Linked DNA regions of Tamandua tetradactyla. The protein of the gene in region 1 interacts with the protein of each later gene in a pairwise test. Links are inferred from orthologs where the notes say so. Each region holds a gene or a part of one and is shown in the gene's direction. Other genes may lie near its edges.

Region 1 (7,691 bases):
AGTGCAGATGTGCATTTAGGTTTTTTACTTTAGCTCACTTTTTTTTTATTAAAAAAAATTAACAAAACATTTAGAAATCATTCCATTCTACATGTACAATCAGTAATTCTTAATATCATCACATAGTTGCATATTCATCATTTCTTAGTACATTTGCATCGATTTAGAAAAAGAAATAAAAAGACAACCGAATAAGAATTGAAACGATAATAGAGAGAAAAAAAAACCTATACCTCACGTGCAGTTTAGCTCACTTTTTAATGTAGGCATTTAAGGCAAAAATTTCCCTCTGAGGCCTACTTTCAGTGCATTCCATAAGTTTTGATATGTTGTGTTCTCATTTTCATTCACTTCGAGATATTTACTGATATTTCTTGTAGTGTACTCTTTGACACACTGATTGTTTAAGAGTGTGTTGTTTACCTTCCATGTATTTGTGATTTTCCAGTTCTCTACCTGTTATTGATTTCTAGCTTTACGCCATTGTGGGCAAGGGGAGATGCTTTGTGTAATTTTGGTCTTTTAAAATTTTGTGATCCAGCATATGGTCTCTCCTGAAGAATGATCCATGAGTACTTGAGAAGAATGTATATCCTGCTGTTTGGGATTGCAGTGTTCTATATATGTTTGGTCTAGTTCATGTATCACGTTATTCAAGTTCTCAATCTCCTTACTGATTATCTGACTAGATATTCTATGTATGGGTGAGAGCTGTGTGCTCAGTTCTACAACTTTTATCGTGAGATGTCTATTTCTCCCTTCACTTTGCCAGCTTTTGTCTGTACTTTGGAGAACCATGGCTCCGTGCATAAATATTAATGATTTTTATTTCTTCTTGGTGAATTGCCTTTTTCATTAATATGTAGTGTTGTCTCTTTTAACATTTTCACATTATTAGTCTGATATTAGTATAGCTACCCCAGGTCTTTTTTGGTTAGTCTTTGTCTGGCTAACTTTTCCAACCTTTCACTCTCAACCTATGAGTCTTTGGATCTAAGTTGTGTCTCTTGTAGGCAGCATTTAGTTGGTCATAATTTTTTATCCCTGTTGCCAATCTCTGTTGATTGGGGAGTTTAATCTGTTGTCATTTAATTCTATTACTGTAAAGGTAGTATACTTCCAGCATTTTATCTTTTGGTTTTCATATGTTGTATCTTATTTTTGTCTCTTTTTTTCAACCTTCTAGTTATCCTTACTGATAATTTTCATTTATACGCTCTCCTCCACACATCTCACCCCTGTCTTTTCTTTTCACCCTGCAGAACTCCTTTAATTTCCTGTAGGGAAGGTCTCTCATTGATGATATTCTCTCAGTTCTGTGTATCTGAATATTTTACACTTGCCCTCATTTTTGAAGGACAGTTTTACCAGATAAAGAATTCTTGGCTGGTAGTTTTTCCTCTTTTTATATTTTAAATGTATCATTCCACTGCCTTCTTTTCTACATGGTTTCTGATGAGAAATCAAAACTTAGTCTTATTTGGTTCCCTTATATGTGGTGGATCATTTTTTTTCTTGCTTCTTTCAGGATCTTTGATATTTGGCATTCTGATTAGTGTGTCCCAGAATAAGTCTATTAGGATTATTTTGTTTGGTGTACATTACGCTTCTTGGATATGTATATTTATGTCTTTCATAAGAGTTGGTGATTATTTCCTCAAATATTCTTTCTGCCTCTTTTCTCTGCTCTTCTCCTTCTTGGATGCCTATGACACATGTGTTTGTGCACTTTGTGCTGTCATTCAAATCCTTGAGATCCTACTTGTTTTTATGATTTTCATTATTTGTTCTTCTGTCTGTATAGTTTTGGTTGTTCTGCCTACCAGTTCACTGATTCTTTCTTATTATTCATATCTGCTTTTGTGTGCCACTAGTATATTTCTGATTTCTTCTATGATGCCTTTCATTCACATAATTTCTATTTTGGTCCTTTTTGTACTTTCAGATTCTTCTCTATGCTCATCTAGTGTCTTAATATCCTTGATCTCTTTTACTATAATTTCCTTAACCTTCTTTAGTTGATTTAGATTTGTTTGAGCATCTTTGATTAGTTGTTCCAAATTCTGTGTCTCCTCCAAAGTTTTAATTTGTTCCTTTGATTGGGCCGTATCTTTCTGTTTCTTGGTAAGGCTTGTAACTTATTGGTAATGTCTGGGCTACTGATTATCTTAATGACTTTACTCCAAAGATCAGTTTCACACTCTTGCCTAGGATTTTATTGTTGATTGTTCTTTTTGTTAAAGCTCTTCTTTCACACTTAGTTCAACTTATTCTAGACCTTTAGAATTGCCCATGTTCAACTGATCATATTATTTCAACTCTTCTTCATTTGATTCTTGCCCTGAATTTGCAGTACAGTTTTTAAGATTGCACTATGTGTGCAATTGTTTCACCTCCAGAAAAGAAAGGAGAAAGCTTCTTTTCCTGGGAATCCTGTTTCTTCTGTGGCGTTCTTGATCTTCTCCTTTAGTTTTTGTTTAGCCTCTATGGTGTGTTTTTTACACTGCTTTTGCTGCCTCTTGTTGCATTTGCCTGGAGGGTACATTCTGGGGAGGAGGGTCACAAGAAAGGGGACTTTCCCAAGTTAGTTTTCTGAGCCAAAACGGGGCCCCAGCCCCACGAAGGAAGTGCAGACCTGGTCCAGAGAACTCTGTGGGCATGGTTAGGGAGGACACCAAAAGCTTTTTTGACAAGTCCCGTAAGTTGCACTTTCCTGGTCTGCCCAGCAGATGGCACCATTCAGCAAACTGTTCCCCGCAGCCCTATATAAATACTGTATCTTTTTTTTGGACATGGGCAGGCTCTGGGAATCGAACCCAGGTCTCTGGAATAGCAGGTGAGAATTTTGCCACTGAGCCACCGTTGCACCACCCTTAGTACTGGGTCTTTAAACCTCCACCACTTATGCCCATGACGATGGCAGAATTGAAACAATGACCATTGCCATCCTTGTCCATAGTGGGCTAAAACAGCAGTTCTGAGCCAAAACCCAGTAATACAAATTTTCCAAGCAACAGTTGTGATCAGAGTTTGGCCATGTACCCTCCCCCACCTCCCCAACACACATACACTATTCTTTGGGACAAGGACTTCCACATCCCTCTCTGTCTACAACAGCCAAACAGGGACCGGACCTCATATGGTCGCCTTTGACGGGTGTTGTCAGCTGCCGTGGAATGAGCTACGCATGGTTCTTTTACCACATTTTCTCAGCCCCTTTCTCCCGCTCTTCCCTGGATGCTGAACAGTGCTCCTCTGGCCTCCAAAGCCCCAGAACAGTTGTTTTAGACAGTAGCTGTTTTAAGGAAGTAGTGAGTCCTGGAGTTCCCTGCTCTCATTTTTGTGCCCAGTTTTTAATTGGGTTGTTTGTCTTTTTGTGTTGCGTTGTAAACAACAAAGTTCTTTATATGTTTTGTATATTAAACTTTTATCTGATATATGATTTGAAATTATTTTCTTCTATTCCAGAGGTTGTCTTTTCGTATGTTCATGTACTCTAAATAAAGTTATAAGTGGTATCAAAGAATTCTTGATAAAGAGTTGAGAGGATGGAAAGACTGCCTCTAGAAGAGGGAAAGGATTAGAAGATGGTGTTTGAATGATCCAAAGGGATAGCTTTGATTTGAATTTTTGGAACAGGGTAGAGAGGCTATTCAGTAAAATAGACAAGAAAAGCCAAAACATAAAGAAAGGTAATTGTGTGTCCTGGAAACAAAAGAAGAGTTCATTTTGAGTGGGGTAAAGCATGTATGAAGAGGAGTAGTGCCATGTAAGTTAAATTGAGATCTGATTGTGGAGGCCTGGAAATACCAGAATTAGGAATTGGATTTTTCCTTCTGTAAACATAGGATTAAAGTGTCTGAGCAGGAAAGTAACAAAGTTAGGTAATTCGCATATAGTGGTAGCAGCTTTATGACTTCCAAATTAGAATTTGAATAGTCAAGAACACATTTTCCCACAGAAACACATTAATATGTCCCTTAGATTTTCAAACCAAGTTACAAAAGCTATTTAAACAGATTTGGGTAAAAAGAAGTCCCTCCTGTTCAGTTATAAAGCCAAGTATATTTTAAGGAACTTGAGATAATACAAGTAAGGACCATCTCTTCAACTTCAGAGTGCTGAAAAGCAGTCTGTTTTAGCCATAACAGTTGTTAAATAAACATTTGTGGAAGCTGACTACTACTATATTATCATTTATGAAAAAAAATGTATTCATTCAGTAAATGTATTGAGTGCTTGACCCACCCTCTGCCAGGCATCATTCCAGTTGATGGAGTTTAAAGATGGTTTAAGATAAAAATCTAATTGGAGGCAACAGACATGTTAACAGATAATATAGTGCAATGGGAATACAGAAGTGCTTCCTGGGATAATTAGTTCCATGGTAACAGAGTAATGACATATAAATTGTATCTTGATGAATGAGTAGAAAAATTCCAAGTAGAAGGGCATTCCAAGGCAGAGATAGAAGATGTAGCATGTAAGAGGTTCCAGTTTGTAACGTGAGGTGTGTTCAGGAAATATGGAAAAGAGGTAGAATGTGTATATACTTGTTTTGGGAATAGGGAGTGATGGTTCATAACAAGACATTGAAACCATAGCGGTAGTTTGTTGGAAAGTTTCAGAAGGCCATATAGGCCATTCTTAAGGGGGCTGACATGACTTTTTTCTTTTCTTTTCTCCAGATAATTTTCCTGATAGTATGAAGAATGACCTTAAGTGGAGAGAGATTGTTAACTGGGGAAATAAAAGGACTTGGGTAGTTTGGCATACTTCTTGCTATTTGGTAGGTGTTCTAGAATTGTCTCTTGATTGATTACTCTAGGCAGAGGAAATCTTGACTTGATTCAATGGGGATAGAGAAGAGAGGGAATTTAAGTGATATATTGGAGGTAGAACTGAAAGAATTTGATGACTGAGGAGTTGAATTTATTCCATATTTTTGAATTTTAGAAAGTAGATGGTTGGTGATTCACTACAAAGAAGACTGGGAAGAAATGATCAGAGCTAGAAGATTACACTAGGGGAGAATTACAAAAAGGGAAGATTATATTTTCCAAAATGGCTACAGCAAGATCTTCCATACCACAATGTGATGTTGACACTTCCCAAAGAGAGGCAAAGTTCATGTTCCCTTCTTGAACGTTATCCTGTACATTTCCATTCTACCTTTGAATCCTATTTTGCCTAGCTTGAGGCAAAGCATTTTTTATAGTACTCTAAAAAAATATTCAATAAACATAATTCATTTATTTATTCAAGTAAAACCGCAAAGATTTCCAGAAAAAGCAGATCAGGTGGAATTAGAAAAAAAATCAAACATGGTAAAATTCATTTAGTTCCAGCGTCACAATTTGCCTCAGCTCATAGTTGGTTTATATTACAGTCTTGGATTTATAGCACCATGTTATGTCTGTTCTTTTTTTGGGAGGGTGGGGGTGGTGACCCTTTTTGTCTTGATTTTTATACATGGATCTTGGCTGATTTTCAAGATGCTCTGTAGAGGATTTGGCCCTGGCCCCACTCGCCAGTAATTTGCTTTATTGTACATCTGCTGTGTGCTCATCAGTGCTCTGTTCACCACAGGTGAAAAGCAAGAGAGGCGTGAGACAGATCCTGCCCTTGCTTTCAATTTAAGTGTGAAGAGAAAAGCAAACCTTACAAAAATGGTTATAAAACAAATGACAACTGGTAATAGTTTGCTCTGTGTAGGGATATGACTTTTTACAACTCAAAGGGATGTAAGAGTGGAGAAATAAGTGGAGATAATGTGGAGAAGAAACTACCTTCAAGGAAGAAATGGAAATTGAGCCAGGCTTTGAATAATGGTATAGTGGTGTTTGAATTGTGAGGGGAGAAAGGGGTGGGTTACCTGTCCACAGGAAGCAGTAGTAGCGTGGATTTGAAGAGAAGAATGAAATATGATGATAGGAATATGGTGTTCATTCTGGGGTTTAGAGAAATTTGAGCAGGTAGAGCAAGATAAGGACCTTAAAGGGTAGGCAGAGGAGTGTGAACTTGAGAGTATAGGAATCACAAAAGGAAATGTCTGTCTAAAGATTTTTAAAGATTTGTTTTGCAGTGCACTAAAATTAAGGAATACACGTTACAGGTAGAACTTGAACCCTTGGGTTAGTTGGTTTAATAGGATATAGAAATACCTCTCTGAAATACTTTTTTTTAAAGTCAGGATGAAGATGAATGTACTGGTTTCTTTGAATTTGTGTGTGGTTCTTACACATTTTATTAGATCTATTCTAGAAAAAGGTGCTATAAGAAAATAAAAAATTTAGTTGGATTCTTTTTCAAGAAACTGTTAAATTAGGGCTTTAGGTTCTTGTCCAAAGGTTTGGTGTCATTATTTTTTATGGAAATGATCACAGACACACCATGTTTCATCTTACAATTGGTAGCATTTATAAATAATGATACCAGTTTAACAGCAACACAGTTACCAGTATTGAATTTAATATCATTTTATATTAGTCTACAGGGCATAGTTCTTCAATTTTTGTTTTTGTTTTGTTAATTTTTGTGTTTAATTACTGTATTAAAATAAGATGAACATTTACCTTTGTCACTTGCAAAATTCAGAAATTTTTTTGGGCAGATGTTTACAGATATCTTTGAGAGACCTTTTTGGAGGCCTTGGTCAGTTAAAGGTTTTAGGATGTATTAATTTTTTTTTATAATTGTAAATGTCTTTGAAACAGCCTTAGTTATTAGAGAGCAAGGTATTGCGTTTATTAGTTTTTATAAGCAGAAAGTTTTTTTTTTAATCTCCATCCCATTAGGAGCAGTAAGACGTTTATCTTTAAAACCTCGTAATAGATAGTGTTATTGACTCTGAAGATAAAACCTCAGACACTTGTTTTCTAATTCTCCTCTTCTCTCACTGGTCGCTTCTACTTTGTCTCTTTTTTGGATCCTTTTTCCTTTTCTTGTCCAAATGCTGTCGTGTCCTTTTCCCTCCTAGATGATTTCATTTAGACCTGAGGTTTTAAATAACCACCTACCTATATGTTGATGACTCTAAAATTATATCTAGCTCCAGTTTCTTCCTGATAGCACAAACTTGTTTTTCCAACTATAGTCTCTGTCTTTTCATTTTGTATCTAATAGACATCTCCAATATAATATTCAGAGCATAGCTATTGTTTCCCCAGTTTCTCATCCATCTCCTTTCTCAGTCTTCCCCACCACCTTTCAGGCCTCAAACCTCTGTTCTGGCCTCAGGTCTTTACAAGTCCATAACTCAGTTTTTTCTTTTTTCTCCCTATATCCAGTCCATCAGCAATTCCTATTAGTACATCCTTCAAAATACCATGAATCTGATTATTTCTCAGCACTCCGTCCACTGCCACCTTTGTGTGAGGCACTAACGTTTCTTGACTGGATTACTACAGAGTCATAGTTTGGATATTCTGGGAAGCAAATTCTGAAGCAGAGTTTAGTGTGTAGAATGTTTATTGAAAATACCCTTGAGAGCCACATCTGTGAAGTTGCAGGGTAAGGAAGCAACACTGGGCAAAAGGAGAAGTAGAACTACAATGCTGACCCTAAAGGTTGAATGCTATAGGGAGATTTGGAGCTAAAATGGCCTGTTAGAGTCATCCTTCTTAATCAGTCATTAGCTATGAGTCACTCTGGGAAAGGTATGACATTGGGTAAGGTGGTTTTCTGCAGCT
Region 2 (7,849 bases), on another chromosome or scaffold:
CAGGTTGGCCGGCTGGCGGAGCTGGGCGCGGCGTCAGGACGGGCCGCCAGGCCAGGCTAGGAAGGTGTAGTGGGCCTCAGCACCGCCACGGGCGGGCCCCGGCTCCCGTAACCGTTGCAGTCTTCTGTCCCTTCACCCAGGTGGGCAAGCGCAGAGGCGGGAACAAACTAGCCCTCAAGACGGGAATAGTAGCCAAGAAGCAGAAGACGGAAGACGAGGTGAGCAGGTGTTGGTGTGCGGGGGCGCCTACCCTGTCTTTCTCCTGAGCCCAGTCCCTCCCAGAGTGGTGCTGGTGGGGAAGAAGGGCCTTACACAGAATCCCCAGATATCTTGACCCTGCCTGTCTTTTCCCTCACACCTAGGCCCTTCTGGAAGGGCAGCACTCGGGGTGGGTAGCTGCCTCTGGATAGTCTTGACCTCAGATCAGAGCCTCCCTGACATCCCACCCCCCCACCCCTTTGCTCCTCTTCCTCCTCCGTCCCAGGTATTAACAAGTAAAGGTGACGCGTGGGCCAAGTACATGGCAGAGGTGAAAAAGTACAAAGCCCACCAGTGTGGTGACGACGATAAGACTCGGCCCCTGGTGAAATGACCCCTCCCCCCACCTGCCCATGGCCTTGGACTCTTTGCGATGTACATACTATTTAATGTGGCAGCAGCGGCAGCAGCCTTCCCCCCGAGGACTTATACACAGAAGGACACCGAGATGTTTTCCTGCAGCCGCGGACGATTCTCCAGGACTCTTTTTTACCTTGAGCACTTGCCTCCTGAGACTTCATAGAACAGTGGTTTACTGTCCACCCTCTTCCCGCTGCCCCACTCTCTCTGGCTCTCTCTGTCTTCCTCTTCTCCCACCCTCCTTTCCTTCCCCTTAGTCATCACTTCTGGGAAGTAAAGAACTTGATTTAGTGCTGGAGTCGTATGCGTGGTCGGCTTTCTTTGCTCTCTAATGTACACCTTCCCCCCACCAGCAAGCACACCCACCAAAGCCTGGTCTGGCCATTTGAGGGGACTGGATGCTCAGGGACAGAATCCTTCTTGCCGACTTGGATACTTCGCAGGGTTTATTAACCCCCTTCTCCCCACCCCTGACCGTCCCCTCACTGTAGCTATTTAGCTTCCGTTTCTTTCCACTTCCATTTTGACTGAGCCAAGCTGTTAAAGTGTTCTCAGCAGACGCTCATTGAGCGCCTGTTATGCGCAGCCCTGTTCCAAACCCTGGGCCACTGCAGTGAGCAGAACAGGGCGCGCTCCTTGCCTCCACAAAGGGGAGAGCATTTGAGTGGCAACTGCTCAGGTAGAGGGACAGCCGGGCAAAGACTGAGGTGAGAGAGGACTTGCCCTTATGGGGGTCTTTGAGGAGGCCAGTGTGACCAGCACAGGGAGTGAGGCTCACTGAAGGGGTATGGGGGGGACTTGGAACAGGACACAGGAGGCTACAGTGCCTGAAGCTGGAGTGTTGGCAGAGGAGCAGGGAAGGAGGTCTGGGATCCTGAATCCAGAGAAGCTGTTCCACACTGCAAAATACAGGAAAAGGGCCCTCAGTCCTCCCAACTCCTTGGACCTCCTCCTAGGGAGCCTGTGGTCTGCTCAGCCCAGAGGTATATATGCTCAAGAGAATTAGGACAAAGGGACACGTTTGTCCCACTTTGCAGAATATGACATGTCAAGGGATGGGATATCTTAAAGGAACTTTGACTTCCCTAGTACCCTCTGGTGTTCCTTGCATTTCTCTGGCCCCACCTGCCCATCCTGAATCTTTACCTCCACCAAGCCCACAAATGCCTAAACATGCTCCCACTGAAACCTTTACTCTCCGGCCCCATCTCAAATCCACAAATCCTGGAGTGACATCTGGGCCCTTGGCCAGGGGACCACCAGGCAGGAACACTGAGCAGCCTTGACACTCCTTCCCACCCCTGTACTGGGTTTCTACTGTCAAGTGAGAGAGGACTGTTCCTCACTGGCCCATGGAGGCAGAGAATGGAAGGGCAGATAGCTCTGGTCCTCAGAGAGGGCTGAGGGTGGTTCCCTCCTGGCATAAAGATGGTGAGATCATGTCAGGAGGAGCGTGTGTGTGTGTGTGAGAGAGAGAGAGAGAGAGAGAAAATTCACTTAAATATTGAGTATCTACTGTATTTGGAGATGAAGCAGTCACCAAAACAGACAAAAAGCCTCTGTCCTCATGGAGCTGACATTCTAGTTAGGGGAAACAGAAGAAACACAATAAATGAAATGCAGAGCACATGGGATGGTCGTACATTAAGAAAAAAACATAAAAAGGGGGCCAAGATGAGGGTGTGAGAGATGGCAATCTTAAGTTGATCAGGGATGGCTTCCCTGAGGTGAAGTTTGTTCCCAGTTCAAAAGAGGTGGGACAGTTGAGAGAACATGTATAGAAGAGTGTGCAGACAAAAGGAACAGAAGGTGCAAAGACCTCAAGGTGAAACTACACCTGGCTTGTCAAAGCAATGGCCAGCAGGCTTTGGACCAGGCTACCTGCTCCCTCTCCCTTCACGCTAATGCACAATAATGCTTATGTGGTTGGTTTTTCCATATCAACTAAAAAATCTCTTCCTCCTAATTTGGGGGTGCTGGGCTGGCCCAGGTGTGACTTTGGCCTTGGGGACAGAATGTGTGTGTGGAGAGACAATGATGCCAAGGGAACACCCCACCTCTTCCTCATTCAAAGCCACCAGCATTGCTGAATCTTTAAAAAGAAACTCAGAGGAATACAAGCGGGAGAAGTAGGTCGCCCCTGCAGAGGCTCAGCCTCTATTCTTAAGTGTTAGGTGGCAGGAGGAACTAGTGAAGTTCAGGCACCTCCCTTCCCTGGACCCACCAGCAATGACCTGGGAAAAAGTCTGAAAGGCAGGAGGATCAAATTCAGGTTTCTGTGAATCAAACAGGGCTGGTTTCAAACTCTATTCTGATGCTTGTTGTGCCATCTTGCATTTCAGATTCTTCCACTAAATAGGGGTAAAAATACAGACTCATCTCTAGAGTCAAATTCTAAAGTAAGGGCAATATTCACACCGTCAACTTGAACTTTGACACAGCTTAAAACGGCTCTTTGCTTCGTTAGGTGAAGCAGCTGGCTCGTTTAGGGCTCTGTTTGAAAAATGCTGCCCTTTCAAGGCGCACAGAGAGGCCCTTGTAAACTGAGAGCGCGTTTGTCTCTCATCTCAGATTCACGGTCCCGCACCACCTCCTTGAGTTTCTCTTTGCATTAATCGCTTCTAGTTGAATCCAAATGTTTGCCGGGCACATGGCCGTCCTGAGAATTGCATAAAACTGCCTGACGCGCGCGCTAGGTGTCTAAGATAGGAAAACGACTTGTCCCGATTCAGCACTCAAATGCATCTCCGGGGGAGAGGACGAAAGAAGACTTCCGTGACCACGCGAGCGCCAGAAATGTGAACCACGTGGGCAGCAGGGGCCACTGTTCTGCCCCGACTCCTGCTCGCCCCCAAAGCTTGAGCAAGGGAGCAGGCAACTTGACCTACAAAGAGGGTGGTGCTGAGTCTAAACAACTTCTCTCCCTCATCTCCCTACCTGGGCCACCTCCTCAACTCTGACCAGAGAGCTCCTATTGGTCACCCCGCGTCCAGGAACCCCCAAACATAGCCCCAGCCCCCAATCGCAGCCTTGCGCTCCACACCCAGCCCGCCCACGTTTGGGTCACAGCCAAAACTCCGAAGCTCCGCGGTCTGGGCGCGAGGCATGACGGGATTTGTAGTTCCAGGCCAAGGGGAGGAACTTTGCGCGTGCGTAAACGGCGGCTTTCCGCACGTGTCTCTCACAGCCAGTTTCTGTGCAGCTGGTTGGACTACGAGGGGAATCCCTCTTTCTCCTTTAGTGAGACTTCGCGAGTCTCGGGTTGGAGTTAGATGCCAGGTGACCCTTTCCGAGTCTGAGGTCCCAGGGCTCGGTCCAGAGAGGTCTTATGTGTGTTTTTCTTGAGTGAACGGAGCCAGGGCTGACTTTGCCAACGGGAAGGGGGCTGCCCTCCTCCATCTCCTCTCAGGAGGTCCCCAGAATCCCTCAGAACAGGCAGGGCGGGATTGCCTTTCAGATTAGAGCCCTGAGTGATTCCAGTCAATATTTAGGGAGGGGGCTGAATCCTTTGAAAGGAAGGCCTTGATCACGTTTTCTAAGAACAATTTACAACAGTAGGCTTGGTAATGCTTAACTTGGATTATCTCTGAGCAAACTCTAATTAGTTCCGTTTCACAAGTGGGGAAACTGAGGCTTCGAGTGGCAGGAGGTCACCCACCCTCCGAGTGGCAAGGCGAAAGGGGAAAGCCGGACGCTTTAGAGAGACAAAAAATGCCTTACTCTTCCCAGACTGTTCACTATCCTGCCCTAGCCTCAGTTTCGTGGGCTCCATCTAACCCATTGTAGGGGATAGATTAGGCCCATCCGCTCCGGGGTTTATTTTATTGGGTCTTTAAATTTATTTAAAAGCTTGTCTCTGTGGCTTTTTCATGTTCTCGTAAAACTGCCAAACAGTCCAGGAAAATAACGCAAAAAGTGGCAGAGTCTTCGGTAAATACAGGCAATCCTTTTGTCTTGCTTTCTTTCCTTTGTCTCTGGGGTACAAAGTCCACCCCAGGCTTAGTCCTTTCAAGTGCCCTCTGGATGGGAGAGGGAGGTACGGTTCACATTCTTAGAGGGGAGGGTGACCAGGGCACATCTGGCCAAGGGATCTGGCCGAGCGGTTCACGAGACTGCCTCACACCGAACGTCCCACGCGCCACCAAACTCCTGTCTTTCAGTAAAGAGCTGCAGTCAGGCCGGTGACGGGGGTGGGGGAGAGGCTGAGGAAACGAGACTCGGGAGGACCCTCCGGCCAGAGAGGCGCCAACTCTTTCCTCACGTGACCTAGCCGTGGCGGGGCCCGGGCCTCTCTCGGTGTCAGGCCACGTGTGACAGCAGCGCCTTACGATTGGTTCTGTTGGGCCAGTTTGAACGGCGTACGGAAGCCGCAGCTGCTCACTCGCGCCCGCGTTCTCTCTTTTTTTTTCTTTTCCTTATTCTCTCTTTGGCTCCCTTCTTCCGCGCGAGTCTCAGGAGAAGCCTCAGCGCGAGGCGCCGCCGCCGCCCGGGGCCCGGTAAGTGGGCCTCACCCGGAGCCCGACTGGGCTCAGCCCGGGCCTGCGCCGACCCCCACAGGGCTCCGGGCCTGCGCCGCGCGCGGCCCGAGTATCGGGGCCGCGCCCGACCCGGGAAGGCCGGGACCTGGTTGGGCCGGATCCGCGAGGCAGCGAGAACGGGCCGGGGCGGGGGAGGGGGTAGTCGAGCCGGGCTGAGGGGGGTGGGGCCTCGGAACCGGGCCGGGTCAGGGTGCCGCGAGAATCGGGCCAGTGGGGCTGCTGCGTCGACCTGGAGGGGATCTGATTGGGGGAAGCGACTGGGGTCTGCTTAGGGCCTGATTGGGACACGTCGCTAGGATCGGGTGTGTGTGTGTGGCGGGGGGGACTGTTTCGGTGTGGCATGGCTGGGTCTGATTGGGGAGGCCGCATGGAAAAGCTGTGGGGTGGGGGCTTGTTGGGTCCTGATGGGGAGGGGCGGCTGATTTCGGCCTTTAGGGCTTTGCTGGGTCCCCCAGCGGGGCTTCTCTGGAGTCCATTGGGGGCGGGGGATGCTTCAGGACATGTTCGGCCAGGCCTTACTGGGCGGGGTGGGGGTGGGGGGGACAAGGAGGGAAGCTGCAGGGATCGGACAGAAGGGGGTTTTTGGCTAGATATGGTGGAGGGGCTTGGGCGAACTTGATTGGGGGAAGCAGCGGAGGTGGGTCACTGCGAGTTACTGCTGACTTGGAGGAGGAGGAGGGAGGGCAAGGGGAGGCTTGGCAGGATCTGATTGGGAAAGGCGACAGGGACCCGTCCCAGGGGCTTGTGTCGCCGGGTAGACGAGCTTGGCTGGCTCTCATCGGGAGCAGCCTCGGTGACCCATGCTTCGGGCCTGATTTGGGGGTCATCTGGTATTTGGCTGAGCTTGGAAGGCTAGGTTAAGGGAGGTGGCAGGGAGCGGGAGGATCGGATTGCCTTGGGACTGTGCGCCTGGGAAAGGACCAGGGGCCGGTCTGCTCAGGGGTGGCTGGGATCTGGTGGAGTTTGAGGGCCAGATTTTGGAAGGAGGAGGAAGAGGGAAATCTTCGCGGACTCTTCCTGTCTTGGGGAGACCATGGGGACTGGGAGCTATCGCGGTCTGGAGAGAGATTCCTGGACTTGGAGGTGCCAGAGCCCTCATGCAGTGACTGCAAGGGAGGCGGAAGCCTTAGTGTCCGTAGCTAGAGGCGGCGGCATTGGGCACTGTGGGACAAGGGTTTCTCCATGCTTTGCGGGAGGAAGGTCCGCCGGCCCCTCCACCACCCGTGGCCTGCTTCCACATACCCCAGCCAGCACTTCCGAGCCCATAATTGCGCGGCCAAGGATGGCGCAGCTGGCAGGGAACCTGCGCTCGGGCGGGTGTGGATCAGCGGCCCCCGCCTGTCCACGGAGGGTGCGTTTGTCCTGCTGCCGCCACCCCCCGGGCTCAGCCCAAGTCTGAGATGGAGTCCCTGGGACCCAGCGTTGACCCCGGCCCCATCCCCACAGCCCGCCTTGCATCATGGACTGGCAGCCTGACGAGCAGGGTCTGCAGCAGGTCCTGCAGCTGCTCAAAGACTCACAGTCACCCAATACAGCCACGCAGCGCATTGTACAGGATGTATCCTTCTTTCCTTCCGGGCGCTCGGGAAACCCTGCACCAGCAGCCCCCAAAGGTGGGAGGGGCCAGGGTCGAATCCTGAGACTGCTGTGGTGAGGCCCCAACCTTGAATAAGTGATTAGAATCCCGGATCCCCTTCCCAGAGCTGGAGGGATTGCTATGGAAAATATTAGAGACACCTAATGTTCCTGAAGCACTAGATTCAAGGAGGTACTGTTATTCTCCCCATTTTACAGCTGAGGAAATTGAGGCTTAGGCAGTATGAGTTGCCCCAGTCAGTAATTAGTGGAGCCCAGCTGGCAAGGCCAGACCTGTGTGATGCCTGAGTGCAAGCTTTTAACTGACAAGTCAGAGCTTAGGGGGGAAATGGGTGGGTAAGTTGGTGGGGGAACCTCCAGCTGGCAATCATATTTTATTTAGGCTTTATGGTTAAATGTTTTTTCTCCAATTAGTTGTCAACGTTTAAAATATAAGCAGGTTTCACTTGAAAATTTGTACTCTTTTTTTCAAAAAGTCAGGCTAGGAAGCTCAGGCATGTGCTCCCTCCCCAAAACCCCCTCTCCCCGCTGAGATGTTCTGTCTTATTCTGGGACCAGAGTGGGGTCCTAGAGGTGCTGTCATCTATACGAGGGTGACAGTGAGGCACCCTGCCTGGGGTGGCCCCGTCTCCCACATCCCTTAACAGCCTGGCAGAAACTCAAACAACTCAACCAGTTTCCTGACTTCAACAACTACCTGATCTTCGTCCTGACCAGACTAAAGTCAGAAGGTACGCATTCTGTGACCTCCCTGCAGCTGCCCCCCACTTTGTCCCGGTGGTCCCCTAAGCCTCAGCCCTCTCCCCACAGATGAACCGACCCGCTCTCTCAGTGGCCTTATCCTTAAGAACAACGTGAAGGCACATTACCAGAGCTTCCCGCCGCCCGTGGCAGACTTCATCAAACAAGAGTGTCTCAACAACATTGGCGATGCCTCCTCGCTCATCCGAGCCACCATCGGTGAGGGGACATCAGGGCCGGGGGCAATGCGGTTGGCCTCTGAAGGAGAGCACGAGAATGAACGCTGAGCTCTCATTCCCTGCCAAGAAGCTTCTAAGGCTGTTTAACGTATCACGTCACCAAATGCCCCCAGCATC
Region 3 (6,990 bases), on another chromosome or scaffold:
TCTTTTTTCTTTTTATTTATTTTCCTGGAATGATGCAAATGTTCTAAAAATGATCCTGGTGATGAATACACAACTATGTGATCATATTGTCAGCCCTTGATTGTATACCATGTATGGACTGTATATGTATGAATATTTCTCAATAAAAAATATTTTAAAAAAAGAATGTCAACTAAGACACACAAAAAGAAGTCACTGGTTAGCCATAGAGAAAAAATAAAAGAATGCTATGATGTAGTATTAGTGTTATGACAAACCAAAACCAAATCAGACCAAAGTTATGAAAGGGCTGAAATCGAGTACATAGAAGAGTAGAAGAAGGTATTTGGTTTTAAAAAATAGAGTCAGAGAGAAGCTGACTTGTATCAAGTCTCCATGGCATCCAGGACAGGGAGAATATAGCCTGGTCCCACAGCTGCTTTGATCCCTGGCATTTCCCACTTACAGTTCACATCCATATCAATCATTCATTCTTTCTAGCAAATTCTTATAGAGTATGACCACTCTAGACACTGTGCTAAGTCCTGGGAAATACAACAGCAAAAAGATCAGTCTTATCCCATATGGAGCTTATAGTCTACCAGGGAAGAGAGATTATTAAATGAACGTTTTTACAAACTAATTCATTACAAAAGTGTAACAAATGCTACAAAAGGAGAAGTTCAGGACACTGTAAGGGAGTTTGGTAGGTGTGCCCACCCTAATCTAAGGGGTAAGGAAAAGACTAATCTAAAGAAGTAGTATTCTTAGAGTAAATTCTCTCTTGCTTGAGGACATGGATCTCTCTATTCAAGCAGCCAGGGGGTCTTAATGAGAAAAGCTGACAGTTTCCTACAGTCAAAAACGACAATCAAAACCAACTTAAATCATTTTGAGAGCATGATACAGAGATACAGGTAGAGTGCTATAGAGGTACCTGGCATGGGCTCCAGCCCAGAGAAGGAGACCCTCCCCCCCCGAGGGTCTTTCGTTTAGGGATTGCTACTGCTAGGAAATAAGCTATTTTATCCATAAAACTTTAACTCAGAACTGTACAAAATCCCCCTCTCCCTTGATTTTCCTTAGCTAGCCAAGAGAGGATGAGATTTCAAAAACCACAGTGCTAAAACACTAAGCATTAGTAAGAAGGAACTTACAGGGAGAAAAAAAAAATCATGAAAGATGTTTTCTAAAGAATATAGTTTTGTTTTCTGATCTCAAAATGAGAACTGATGCTCCTAATACCCATCAGGAGGACGCGCACCCCTTGGCACCTGGATCCCTGATCAGCCAAGTTTAAGAGAGAGGGCCCTCCCAACCTGGTCTAGATTCTCTTTAGAGAAGCAGCCGTACCAGGAAGGTTTGGCAGGACGGTGACCAGGCATGACGCAGTGAAAGGTGTCACCCTGATTGGTCGGAAAGGCCCCATTTATGTTGAATTCCTAACCCAACCAGAGCCAATTCATCAAGATTTTGCAGCAAGAGTCTTTCATGGTACCTCTCAAATTACAATCAAACAATTCAGTCTCTGTCTTATTGCATGACCTTTCACGCTTAACAAAGGGCTTCAGCACATTGACCAGATACCCATATTCTAAGGTAGCACTATCCGATAGGGTGACCACCAATCACACGTGGCTACTGAGTACTTGAAATATGGCTTGTATGAACTGATTGTGTTGTAAGTGTGAACTACATATCAGGTTTTGAAAACTTAATACAAAAAGGTGAAATGTCTCATTTTTACTATTTCGTATGGATAATATGTCAAAATGTTATCTTAGATATAATAATAAAATATATTATTAATGATAGTTTCACCTGTTTCTTTTTACTCATTTTAATGTGGTTACTAGAATATTTAAAATCACAAGTGGCTCATATTATATTTCTATTGAACAGCACTGCTCTAGAATGACCTTGATTCTAAGCACTAAATCTCCTCTTTCCGAATTATTTTCTCAACTAGAATAAGTATTGAAGCGTCTACAAAAAATTCCTTAAACCTTCTTCCATTTATAGAAGTGGCTCAGTATTATCAGAAAAACATCCTGTGTTTCAGCCTAGTAACTAAAAACATGACTATCAGATAATTTTACCTCTTTAGGTCTGAGTTTCTTTACAGAAAATGAAGAGTTTGAACTGGTTCCCCTCTATGGTTTCTTCCAATTCTATGATTATTTGATTATTATGATGTTAAAATTTTTCTAAAATATTTCTATAAATAGGATTTTACTTAGCTTTTATTATAATGCATATAAATGTTTGAACCAACTTTTGAAAATAATATAAAATAAATATTTGCTTTTTTGATGCAAAGACAGAATTTCATTTTAATCATTCTATACTATTTCCAGTGGATACATGTTAGTTTATTTAAACATGCATATGTTAAAGTAGCATGCTTGTTTTCTATATTGCTATTATAAAATTTTCCACAACACTATTTTTGTTAATAAAGGTTTTTCAGTTTTCAAGATTCGATTCATTCAATTCATTATGATTATTATTTATTTGGTCCCTTAGATTTTCTTCCACAGATCATCCTGTTTCCATCAATCATTTATGCCTCCTATACTCTCTTTTGAGTATTTCTGGTTATATTTTATATCTTATCACACTGTTGTATCCTTTAATTCTCTTTCAGGACTGGGCTCCCTTGCATCATTCACCAGCTCCTTTTAGGTACCTGTTCATCCTGATCACACTCTTTCCCTCCTGTAGATTCAGGGCCTTCCCCCTGTGCTCATCCCTTTTCAAAACAGCTCACCTGAAAGGATCTATTAACAGGAATATATCAGGGTGAATTCAAATCATCGCAAACACTCCTTACTGGAGAAGGGGCAGGTCTTTGCATTTTTAGCCTTAATGCTCATCTTGAAATGAAAGTCTTAATCTTATTTGAATTGAACGGAAAACTCCTATTCTTTTTTTTCCATTTTCCTAAAATCTATCAGAGTATGTGTCCTCTCACATACTTATGTCTTACAAGCCCAGACATAGGCATTCTTTCTTGTGAAATTATGGCTTTAAATACCTCTTCAGGTACCTATGCAAAATCCTGACTGCTATACTTAGGGCTTTTAGGCAGAATTTGAAGAGCTCTGGATTTGGAGTAAGATGCCCTACACTCATATCTTAGCTGTACTTGAATTAGATGTATCATCTTGGAGATCTCGAACCTGGAGTTGCTATTAATAATCGTTGCTACACTCAGCTTCACAAACAAGAATTTCTGAGCATCTAAAGAAATACTGAATGTGAAAGTACTTACCAATGGTAAAGAGCTATACAAGCTTGAGTTACCTTGGGTATCCTGGAACTTACTTACATTTTTTTCCAAGTTCTTTTTCCCTTTCTAAAGTCAGGAAACCTACATCAAAGCATTCAGTGTAAAGAGGAAGGACCAACATGGCCAAGGCTTTCAGAATAATGGAAAATTTCAAGTTATGATGAAATGATCACTCTCTTCATTCAATAATATGAATAGCTCTATGAAACACCTATTATAACTAATAACCTGTGTTACTTTATACAATTCATCTAAGAGACTCAATTTGTCAAGAAATAGCAAATGGTTTCATGAAATTTAAATGGAACCTGGATGGAGGGATGAGTCTATATTAAGTTGATAGCCATATTAAAGTAGCAAATTAATGTTAATGTTATGAAGAGGAGTACAAATAAAAGATTTTAAGAATTAGAAGCTAATCAACTCGATGTATTAGGAAGGAATTCTGTTCCTAAAATAGATGCAAGAATATTTTCAAACACAAAATTCAAGTGCTTAAAAATAATTCCCTCAAGAAAGCAATATAATTTATAAAAATATGACCTATAATATATAATAAACATATAGCCCTTCCCGACATTCTGTGAAATCAGGGCGGTAGGACAGGGCTGCTGTCATCAATTATTCCTGGAATTTGGTGGAGAAAAGAAAAGAATTTGGAATCAGCCACCCCGGGTTCCGTTCTAGTTCCCTCACTTGAGAATTATTTCTTCATACCTAAAAGGAAGACAATACTATCGGCTCTGCCTAAATTACAGACCCAGTTGTATGGGAAAGACAGGCACAAATGCTGCTGTTAGGGCGACAGAAGTGGCGGTGGACTGAGCTGTGCATTTAAAGAAATCCAGCCCTTCCCAGCTGGAAGACACTGGCGAATAGAAAGGAAAAGTACCCAGTTTATTTTTCATCCTGTTTCAAACTTGGGGAGAAGAGGCTGGGAACCGGGGGGGTGGTGAAGTCACCTGAATATGGAACCCCCAGCCATTTACCCTTTGTTCCTTCATTATTTCATTCCTTCAGTCATTCGACAAACCTTTATGGGGCCTGTGTTGGGCGTCGGGTAGCGGGCTAGGCACTGGAGCCACAGGCAGGAAGGGACCCAGCCTGTATCGGGGAGCCCTCTGACTAGTGAGCAGGCACCACACGCCTAACTGCGGGACAGCCAGGCCGCGCTCGCTTGGGGTGAAGAGGCTGCTGGCCGGGCCGTCCCGCCGCCACCTCCAGCGAGTCAGCCGGCGCCGCAGCGCCCCGCCGCCCCTGCCCTCTACCGCGGCGGCGGCGAGTTCGGCCCGCGTCCCCATGACAACCAGGAGGCGCGGCAGGCGGAGCGGGAGAGGCCGCGCGGCTGGCGGGCCGGGGCGGCGGGAGCGCGCGGCGGGCGCAGGGCCCCTCGGGCGGGCGGGAGGGCTCCCCGCGTTCCTGCTCCCGGGGCCTCAGACCTCCCGGGCAGGCGCGGCCGGCGCGGCGCGGCACAGACAGGTAACAGGGCCCCGGGCCTCCCCTGCCCACCTCACCCCGGTCCCTCTCGCGTCGGCCGGGCTGGCACCCGCAATCCTAGAGGCAGGGGTTACCCCAGGAGGCTGGGGGAGACTGTGCACGCGGCGGGTGGGAAAGAGCCCGGGATGCAAGGACTTTGAAGTGTAGGTTCTAATTGTGTGGCCTTAGGCAAGTCACTTAATTTGTGCCTCCGTTTCCCTGACGTGAAAGTGAGGGATTTGAGAACTGACGAAACTGTTTATTCATCCGTTCTTGCTGCTCAAGTTTTCATTCACCGCCCCTGCTTTTCGCCCCTCCTCTTCACCCACAACTGTAGGATCTCCCTTAAATTCCTCTGATTTGGGTGGCATGAATCCCGGGATCTTCCTCCTCCTCTTTCTACAACCATAAATGCGCTTTCATTGACTTTTATTCAGTAATTCGGAGTTGAATTCTTTTTCAATACTTTGTCCATTTATCTTCATATACTAATTATAAAATAAAACTGTTGCTGGGGGAAATACTATCTTGTGTTAGGCAAGTACATAAGCTCATTTTGTCAAGAGAGTGAGCCAGTGCCCATAGAACCATTAAGGAACTGTAAGATTTGTATTTTTAGAAAGTTCTTCAGGCTTCTGTCCTTAACTCTTGGTATGTTTATGTTAACAGACCCCAGAAATGGCCAGAGAAAGAATTTACTCAAATAAAGGCATGCCATTTAGGGGATTCACAGGAAAGGAAAGTTTGAGAAAATCTAGCTGGAATTCCTTTGAGTAAGAATTCCAGTTTACTCATCCCCATGTACTGAGCACTCTGCAAAGCACCTGGTATCTAGCTGTTGTCCAACAAATAGGGAACGAATGCCAATTTCAGTCAGTACCACATATTTCAACTCATCACTAAGCCTATGTCATAAATACAAAGGAGCACTCCTCCCTCCCCCCCCAAATAAGCCCGTTTCTTCATTTTGTAGAACCAAGAGTTACTACTATCTCAGAGAAACTAACATTAAATAGTTTGCTAAAAGCAAAATTTTTATGTTTTATACATTCATAATTGTAAGCATTTTAGGAATCTAGATCATTTTTCTCTCCAGCAGATTAAAAATTAAGAACCATAAACCAGATGCAACAGCTTCTTGACATGGAGAACAAGGCTCCTAATACTACGGGGTAAGTGCTGCAAATCTGTTTAATAAGTTGGTATTTTACTTTGTCAAAAATCATGGACTATGCATGAGTTTTGAAATTTCATATTAATAGAAAGATGTGCCAATTATTTTTGGTGAAGAGGGTGGGGGGAATTTCAAGAGACTGTAATTAAGAATCTATGGCATGAATCTTTTTTTGCATGGGTAGGCACCAGGAATCAAACTCAGGTCTCTGGCATGGCAGTCGAGAACTCTGCCTGGTGAGCCACAGTGGCCTGCCCAGCATGAGTCTTTTGAATTTTGACTCTGTATATTGTACACCAGAGGTGTCCAAAGACGATCGCCATTTTCCAACTTTCAGTGACTTTGTCCAGTGGCTTCATGGGATAGATGCACACACCCAGGGGAACCAACCTTGCAGCCTTTGTGCAGTCTTGGATTCTCACACTGCAACAGCTCATGGCCAGCTTATTCCTTTCTTGCATTCTCGCTTCCTCCATTCTTGCCCTTCAGGCTGAACTCAGCACTTCACCACAAGTTCCAGAATAAATACAACTCTACGAAACAGCAATAAGAGCTGGGTATTTTATCAAAAGTTTCATGGGGAGGTAAGGAATAGAGTTTGCAATTTGTATAGCATTCTATATCCTAGAAATTCAATCAAAATCCTTTTCAGAAATATCTATCCCCATCCTCTTCCTGCCACCAGCACTACAAAGGTTCCTCTTCCTGCTGTTTCACTGGCAGGATTACCATAGTTCCTACTCTTGACTGTGACTGACCTGGTTGTGGTCAAACCACTCCAGGTGTCTCACCGTCAGTTTTTCTACTCAAACCATGGCCTTGACATCAGGAAGAAGTAAAACTAAAAAAGTCCGGATAAAAATAGCTATCGCTTTTTTAACTCCTACTTCATAATCCTCCATACAACAGCCCTGCTAAATATTATTCTCATTTTACAACTAAGAAAACTGAGTATATTAATTAGTATATAGTCTAAAGTCTTGTAACAAAGAGACCTGAAAATAATACAATGGCTTAATAAGAATGAAGTTTGTTTCTGACTCATATAATAATCCAGAGATAAGCAGAC
Region 4 (7,552 bases), on another chromosome or scaffold:
GATGCTTACGAAGGGACAGTAATGGGCCATCAAGGAAAGCCCCTCTGAGGAGGGGATGTTGGAGTAGGGTTGTTTTCTGTTTTCTACTTGGTACTGGGTGTGTAGTGATGGTTTAGACTCAGCCTTCACTACTAATGAAGCCTCAGCTCAGAGGTGGGAATTCCTGGAAGAGACAGGTGCTGTGGAGAATGATCCTCAGCTTGGATCTGAAGCACGGCTTGGAGCTGAGAAGTGAGTTTGAATCCTGCCACTTTATCATTCTAACCTTGGGCAAGTGACTATACTCTTCTGAGCCTCAGTTTCTTCAGCTGTATGGAAATTCCAATCAAGGAGGCAGTTTTGCAGAGGGTGATCTGTAAAGAACCAAGCTGAGAAAGTGACGTTTGAGCTGAACATCAAGTTATACAAAGCAATCCGCCATGTGAAGATCTGGGGGAGGTGCAAAGGCCCTGAGGTAGAAGTGAGTTGAAGTGTTGAGTACTAGAAAGAAGTGAAACTTGTTGAGCACTGTTTTCCATAACTCTGGGGGTGCCATTCATGGTTTGTTAAGTAGAATCATACTACCCAAATGGCCCTCGTGGCTGGAGTAAGATAAAGTGGACTGGGGAGGTCAGCATGGCCAATGCATAGAGGCTTCATGGGTAATGATACGAAGTTTGGGTGTTGTAGGCAGCTTCCAAGATGATACCCAATGTTCCCAGCACTTGCAAGTTGCTTCAAATGAATACAGCAGAAATGATGGAATGTTGCTTTTGAGATTAGATTCCAAAAATTGGCCTCCATCTTGCTTTCTCTGAGGAAAGCCAGCTGCCATATTGTGAGCTAACTGGAGAGATGCATGTGGCAGGGAACTGAGGAAGAGCCTTAAGTGGATGGCCATTGAAAAGCAGAGTCTTGGTCCAGTTTCTACAGGAACTGAATCCTGCCTATATATAGCCACTCGAGTGCAGATCCTCCTCCAGTTTATCCTTCAGATGAAACTGCAGCCTCGTGGGAGACCTTGTGCTAGAGGCTCAACTAAGCCATGCCTAGATTCCTGACCCGTAGAAACACTGTTAATAAAGCCTAGTTGCTTTAAACTACTAAGTTTAAACAGTGTAACTAGTTTTGCAGCAATAGATAACAAATATATTGGGTTTTGGCAAATGAAGTAATTTCTTCCCCCTCTTAGTTTCTTCATCAGTAATATGGGGACTGTGATCTCCATGGCTGATTAATACCATGTTCTCATTTCTAAGTACCCCTCTTAATAATTCATAAACAATCTCATCTACATCCTTGTTGTCTTATGATATAATTGTTTGCCTTGGTTTTCATTCCTTGATGAATCTTCAGTGCCTAGATCAGGGCCCAGCATATGATGTACTCAATAAATATTGAATCAAGGAATAATTTTTTTTTAATGTTAAAATTTAAACACACAAAAGAAGACAAAATAACCTACTAAATTCCCATATTCCCTCTACCAGCTTTACCTGTTATGTTTCATCCATATTATGTTTCATCCAAGCCCCTTCCCACTTTCTCTCCTTTGTGGACTATTTTGAAACAAATCCCAGACATCCTATATTTTAGTATCAGTAAATAATTTAGGTATATGCCTAAGAAATAAAGATATAATCACGATACCATGATCATACCTAAAAAGAACCAATTTTTAACATCATTAAATATCTAATCTGTTCAAAATTCCAGTATTTTAATACCCAAGATTGTATACACTTTGAGTCAGGATCCAAATAAGGTTCACACTTCGTGACAGGTAAACATGTCCATTCAGTTGTTTTTAATAAAGGCCAGCCTTCAATATCTCTAAATTTTTTCCCTTCAGTTTATTAGTTGAAGAAACCAGGTTGTCTTATAGTCTAGATTTTGCTGATTGCATCCTTGTGATGTTGGATATTCCTTTGTCCTCTGTGTTCCCTCTGAATTGGGTATTTAATCCTCATAAGAGTCCTATGAGGTAGGGTGGCATAGTGAATGGTATGGGCCTGGAGACAAACCTAGTCCTTCCCCTTCCTAGCTCTGTAACCTCAAACAACTTTCTTAATCCCTCTGTGCTTTCATTTCCTTTTAAGATGGGGTTATAAAAGTCCCAAAGTGAGAGCATAAATTTGAGCCAATAAATTAAAACACTTTTAAAAATATATACATGGTGATTGCTCAGTAACTATTAGCTATTAACTGGTAGATTAACAGCAATCATGGGAGGACACTGACTAGCCTACAGCCAATGAACAGTATTCTCTCAGTACTTGAGAGCTGAGGCTGTGACTGGCAATCAAAGGGCTGCCTGTTCTCGCCCCTCAGCACAGGAAATTCCAAGGTGGTTTTCTCTGCTGGCTCCTCTGGTTCTGTCCCTGGAGGGGAAAGCAGAGGGGCTCAGGTACCTAAGCAGGCCCAAGAGAAGATGGAATTGAATATCTCAACTTGCCTGCCTGGACTTCCCTGATTCGTGAGGGGGTGGTTGCCACTTGGAGTGGTCTGGGCTGCTTTGAGCCTGTCTGGTATTTCATGGGCTGGCACGTCTCACCCTGTCCTTGAAATGGTTCTGGCTGGGTAGCAGCTTCTAGCTGGTGTGGGCAAAATTTGGGACCGGTTTAGGGCGGGGACAAGACAGAGAACACTGGTTTCCTTGTGCTGCTGGAGAGAGGGAACGTGGGAGAAATTGGAGACCCCATGCCCCCCAGGTCTCTTGCTCAGTCCACGATGGCTTTGTCTTCAGTGTTCCTCAGTGTCATTGTCTTGCTGTTTGCCTTCCCAGGGCCAAGTGTCGCAGGCCGCCCGATGCCAAAGCTAGCTGACCGAAAGCTGTGTGCTGATGAGGAATGCAGCCGTAAGTATGAGGATGGGGCACTTGGGAGCCTGGGATGCCAGCTGGTGTGTGTGGGTCCTGTCAGTCCCTTCTTTTCCTTCTCTAGACCCCATCTCCGTGGCTGTGGCCCTTCAGGACTACGTGGCCCCCGACTGCCGTTTCCTAACCATACACAGGGGCCAAGTGGTGTATGTCTTCTCTAAGCTGAAGGACCGAGGGAGGCTCTTCTGGGGAGGCAGTGTGAGTCTTGTCTCCCCAAAAAGCGAGGGGTAGGGGGCTGGGATGCGGTGGACCCCAATTTTCCACCTAAAGGGAAAATTTAAGGGAGGGAACGGAAATAGATGAAAAATTTGGGGGGGTGGATATCAGGACCTACTTTGTTTTTACTTTGTTTAGCAATTATGGGGCACTTACTCTGGTGCTAGGTTATGTTCTAGACATTGAAAATACAATAGTGAATGATCCCTTTTATTCTAGTGGGTAGAGACAACAAGTGAGTCAACAAAAATATCAGCAAGTATGTGCTACTTTGAGAATTAATATAGTGACTGGGTGACCACTTTATATCAGGTGGTCAGGGAAGGCCTCTGAGCAGGTGACATTTAAGCTGAGAGATTTGAATGACTAGGATGGAGCCAGCCACGTGGAGACCAGGGTGAGGAGACAGAGTCCAACGGCCTTCAGCGGAAGGAGTGAGTCATCTTCCCAGACCCAGCTTTTAACTACTGTTCCCCAGGTTCAGGGAGATTACTATGGAGACCTGGCTGCCCGCCTGGGCTATTTCCCCAGTAGCATTGTACGAGAGGACCAGACCCTAAAACCTGGCAAAATCGATGTGAAGACAGATGTGAGTGTCCTGAGGGGCGTGGAGGAGGAGAACAGGTGGGAGGACCCTTGGGTTGGGATGGCTTGGCAAAGATACTTTTATCCTTAGCTCTCCCATGGCCTAATGCTGGGACAAACTCTTTCCTTGCACCCATTTTCTCACCAATAAAATTCTAAGTGATTCTAAGCCCCGTTCCATTTGGGAGGTACAAAGATGAAAGGGTTCTGGGCTGATATGAATGACCCTTGCGGGGCCAAATCTGCTCCTTTATGTTTACAGCTTGGCTGAAACCACTAGATCCTTTGTGGTGCGACCTCTCGGTTTTTTCTGTGCGTGTTTCCCCTTTCTTCTTTTTCAGAAATGGGATTTCTACTGCCAGTGAGCTCAGCCTACCGCCGTCTGCTGTCTTGCCTCTCCTGTTTTATGCGAATACATCAAAGTGCAAATTGCTGATTTCTGTGGTCTTTGGGGTGGGATGGGGATGGAAAAAGGAAAGGTTTCTGAATCTGGCCAATCAACCCACTGAATGAGGCAATGTCAGTGGTTGCTAGGCAGATTTTCTTTGATGACACGCTCTTTGCTCTGAACTGAGTACCTGCGGCGGGTTCCTAAAGTTAGACGTCGGCCACCAGTAAATAAGAAGAATGATCTAAACGGCCCAACTGGGAGAATGTAGTGTCCTCTCTAGACCAATGGGAGGGAGCTGAACTATTGGGAATGAGCCAATTAGACCATGAGGAGGGCATAAATCGCAGAGGTTTTCTTGGAAGGAAGGTTATCCGCAAAGAGAGGTGGGCGGTAATCTGCGCCAATCTCCTTACTTTTCATCCTTTACGCATTTGAGGTCAGAAATTGTACCCGCTAGCGGAAGATCAGTTCCTTTTCCAGACCCTGTCAATCCTGTCCCTGCCCCCTTCTTTGCATTCGCATCCCCGCCCCCAAGTCCTCCCTTACCCAATCCGGAATCTCGATTCTCCCAAGACTCCTGACCAAATCCGTTCCTCTGCTCCGTGAAGCATCCCTGCGCCGATCCTCTCTCTTGCTCCGCCAATCGCTCGTGTTGGTCCCGCCCTTTTCTTCTAAGGCCCTCTCACACCACCAATCCGCATCTTTTGTCCCGCCCCCTGCCTGCCGAGTCCACCAATCCCTCCCTTCGGGAAGCGTGGCCCGGTATCCCGCAGCCCTAGTGGGTCGCGCCGGAGGGGAGTGGAGGCGGAAGTGGCGGCACCGGCCCGGGGAGTAGGAAGGAGCCGGGGCTGCAGCCGGAGTGGAGCGGCTGCCAGCGAGGAGCAGGCGCGGCCGCGGCGCCATATTGCGACCCTAAGCGGCCGTGACCGAGTCATGGCCGAGACCTACGGTGAGGGTGGTTGGCCTTAGCTGGGGTCTGGGGTCTGGGGTCTGGACCCTCAGAGGATGCGGCCTGTGGAAATGGGGCGGGGCTTGATATACCAGGGGGCGGGGTTTGGTGTTATGGGGCTGGGCTTAGTGGATACGGGGAGGGGTTTAATGAGTCTGGGTCTAAGTTTAACCGATTTGGGCGGAGCCTGAGGGGCTGGTGTATGGGTTAAATAGATGTGGGGCGGGATTTGAGGGAGAAGGTCTTGGTGGATTCAGGATAGGCCTTGAGGGAAGGGGTGGGCCTTAATATATCGGGGCGGGGCTTGAGTGGAAGGGATCGGCGGGACTGTGTGAATGGCAGGAGAAGGGCTTAATGAGATGGAGGGAAGATTGAGGGGAGCCTGAGGGATGTTCTGGATCCTGGGGCTGATTTGGCTTGAGAGGTCTGGAGTGGAAATAGGGATGGGTTGTCCCTGAGTTAGGGGTGGGGTTTAAGCTTGAGTAGAAGAGCACAAGAAGGAATTCTGGAATTGGAAAAATCAGGATATATGTACAGTAAGAGAAGTGAGTGTGTGGGGAAGTTGCAGTAAAGAGTCCTGGTTTAAAAATCAGAGGGGGCTGCATTCATTCAACAAATAGAAAAAGGCAGTGTCAAGTGCAAAGCCCCCGAGGTGGTAACTAGCACCTTTTCAGGAAACAGAGTGCAGTAATTTTACTAGTTTAATGAGACCAGACTCATTAAACTAGTAAAAAAACTAGTAATTTTCAGGAAACAGAGTGAAGGCTAAGGTGGAGTGAGTGAGTCAGAGATGTAGGAGATGAATTTGAGAAGGACAGGGCCAGATCTGATAGAGCTTTGTAGTTCTTGATAAAATGGCCTTCCAAGAGGCTTCAACACTGTAATAGTTAAGATCTTGGCCTATGGAGCCAGTTGGCCTGGGTTTGAATTTCAACTCTGCTACTTCCCAGCTGTGCTACATTGAGCAAGTCACTTAACCTCTGGTTTCAGTTTCCTCATCTGGAAAATAAGGATAATATAGTATACCTCCCTTATAGAGTTTTCTGGAGCATTAAGTGAGCTGTTGATATAAATAAAGAACTGTAGAACAGTGCCAGATGCATCATAAGCACAATGTCATCTGTTACTATTGTTGTCTTTTGCTGTGGTTTCCCCTGTATGTGTTTCTCTCCCTAAAACTGTGTCCATCTCTTGGTTTCTGTGTTTTTCTCTTTACTCTTTTCTCCCTGTGGTCATCCCCATCTCTGGCTCCATTTGCCCAGACTTCCTCTTCAAATTCCTGGTGATCGGCAGTGCAGGAACTGGCAAATCATGTCTCCTTCATCAGTTCATTGAGAATAAGTGTAAGTTTCTAGTAGTGGCCCTGGGAGCACCAAGCTATGGGCATGGGCATGGTGTGGGCAGGTCGGTAGCTGGGGGCAAATCCTGGTCCTTTCCTTGATATGTGTTCTTTGCTAGGTCCTCCTTGAACCTCACTCCCCCCAGTAAGAAAGATAAGTTTGAGGAGGCTGAGGAAGCCTTGGAAGGTTGGGGATCCTTGCAGCCCCTGCACTGTCCCCTCTTTCCTTTTGACTCCTAGTCAAACAGGACTCCAACCACACGATCGGCGTGGAGTTTGGATCCCGGGTAGTCAACGTGGGCGGGAAGACAGTGAAGCTACAGATTTGGGATACGGCTGGCCAGGAGCGGTTTCGGTAGGTGGGCTCTGGGTGGGTTGGCCTCCCAAGGAGAGAGAAGAGAGAATGTTCGGAGTCACTCAGAGACTCAGCAGTAGGAACAAGGAGACACTGAGATGGCAGACAAGACAGAGAGTGAGAAGGAGGAGACCATGATTAGCAGATACCTTTGGTCAAGGAGAGAAGGACTCCTGGAAAGGGAAAGACAAAGAGAGTGAGAGAAAAGAGAGAGTGAAAGAAGCACAAAGAGTGAGAGAGCCTGGTAGAGAGACAGATCATGAGAGGCACTTTGCAGACATGTGCCCAGAGGAGAAGTGTCCCAAAGAGAAAGGGAAGCTTGGGGATGGGAGAGGTTGAGAGGGAAACTAAAACAGAGAGAGGGAAAGACAGATATACATGCAAAGGGAGAGAGAAAGAAAGACTGGCTGAAAGAGATGAGAAAGATAAGAGAAATAAGGAGAGGCAAAGAGAAACCGAGTTCCATAGACAGAGACAGGGAGAGTTGAATAGGTGTAGCCAGAGAAGTGGAGAGATGGATGTGTTGAGGGAGAGAGAAATGCATAAGGCTGGGCACAGAGTAGGTCTGAAGGAAATGTCTGCAGAAGAGTAGAGACAAACAGAAGTACTGAGATAGAGTCTGGGCCAGAGCAGAGAGCAGGGAGAGAGAAATAGAGGGAGTCCAAACCATGGGGAAGTGTAGTCTTTGGGTAGCATTTAGTAATGGCTAAGTAAAATATCCAGATGTTGATTAAATCTATGACATCCAGAGTTCAGAGACAGGGAGAAGTGATGGGGGTAGAACTTGGGCTGGGTGCCCAATAAATGTTTGTGGAATGATTCCATGAGTTTCACAGGGACCCACACTGGGAAGAGGGCCT

Evidence for each region.
Region 2: the proteins of EXOC5 (region 1) and TNPO2 interact in binary tests that used the Homo sapiens proteins (3 or more experiments, as listed by UniProt). The two-hybrid records come from large-scale screens. The link is inferred for Tamandua tetradactyla from reciprocal best matches to the Homo sapiens genes EXOC5 and TNPO2.
Region 3: the proteins of EXOC5 (region 1) and DEUP1 interact in binary tests that used the Homo sapiens proteins (3 or more experiments, as listed by UniProt). The two-hybrid records come from large-scale screens. The link is inferred for Tamandua tetradactyla from reciprocal best matches to the Homo sapiens genes EXOC5 and DEUP1.
Region 4: the proteins of EXOC5 (region 1) and RAB4B interact in binary tests that used the Homo sapiens proteins (3 or more experiments, as listed by UniProt). The two-hybrid records come from large-scale screens. The link is inferred for Tamandua tetradactyla from reciprocal best matches to the Homo sapiens genes EXOC5 and RAB4B.

What each region holds. Positions count from the first base shown.
Region 1 is NC_135338.1:8,508,705-8,516,395, forward strand, and holds the start of EXOC5 (exocyst complex component 5), read left to right. Parts: upstream 1-4,690; 5' UTR 4,691-4,705; coding exon 4,706-4,789; intron 4,790-7,691. UniProt on the Homo sapiens protein: Component of the exocyst complex involved in the docking of exocytic vesicles with fusion sites on the plasma membrane.
Region 2 is NC_135337.1:89,880,387-89,888,235, forward strand, and holds the start of TNPO2 (transportin-2), read left to right. Parts: upstream 1-4,840; 5' UTR 4,841-5,114; intron 5,115-6,602; 5' UTR 6,603-6,615; coding exon 6,616-6,714; intron 6,715-7,407; coding exon 7,408-7,483; intron 7,484-7,562; coding exon 7,563-7,712; intron 7,713-7,849. Other genes in the region: TRIR (telomerase RNA component interacting RNase), read left to right, coding at 141-218, 485-592. UniProt on the Homo sapiens protein: Probably functions in nuclear protein import as nuclear transport receptor. Serves as receptor for nuclear localization signals (NLS) in cargo substrates.
Region 3 is NC_135334.1:49,843,332-49,850,321, reverse strand, and holds the start of DEUP1 (deuterosome assembly protein 1), read left to right. Parts: upstream 1-3,972; 5' UTR 3,973-4,159; intron 4,160-4,653; exon of another isoform or gene 4,654-4,750; intron 4,751-5,804; exon of another isoform or gene 5,805-5,846; 5' UTR 5,847-5,872; coding exon 5,873-5,919; exon of another isoform or gene 5,920-6,454; intron 6,455-6,990. UniProt on the Homo sapiens protein: Key structural component of the deuterosome, a structure that promotes de novo centriole amplification in multiciliated cells.
Region 4 is NC_135342.1:23,355,268-23,362,819, reverse strand, and holds the start of RAB4B (ras-related protein Rab-4B), read left to right. Parts: upstream 1-4,548; 5' UTR 4,549-4,982; coding exon 4,983-4,998; intron 4,999-6,260; coding exon 6,261-6,341; intron 6,342-6,577; coding exon 6,578-6,692; intron 6,693-7,552. Other genes in the region: MIA (melanoma-derived growth regulatory protein), read left to right, coding at 2,680-2,836, 2,922-3,055, 3,552-3,662, 4,000-4,023. UniProt on the Homo sapiens protein: The small GTPases Rab are key regulators of intracellular membrane trafficking, from the formation of transport vesicles to their fusion with membranes.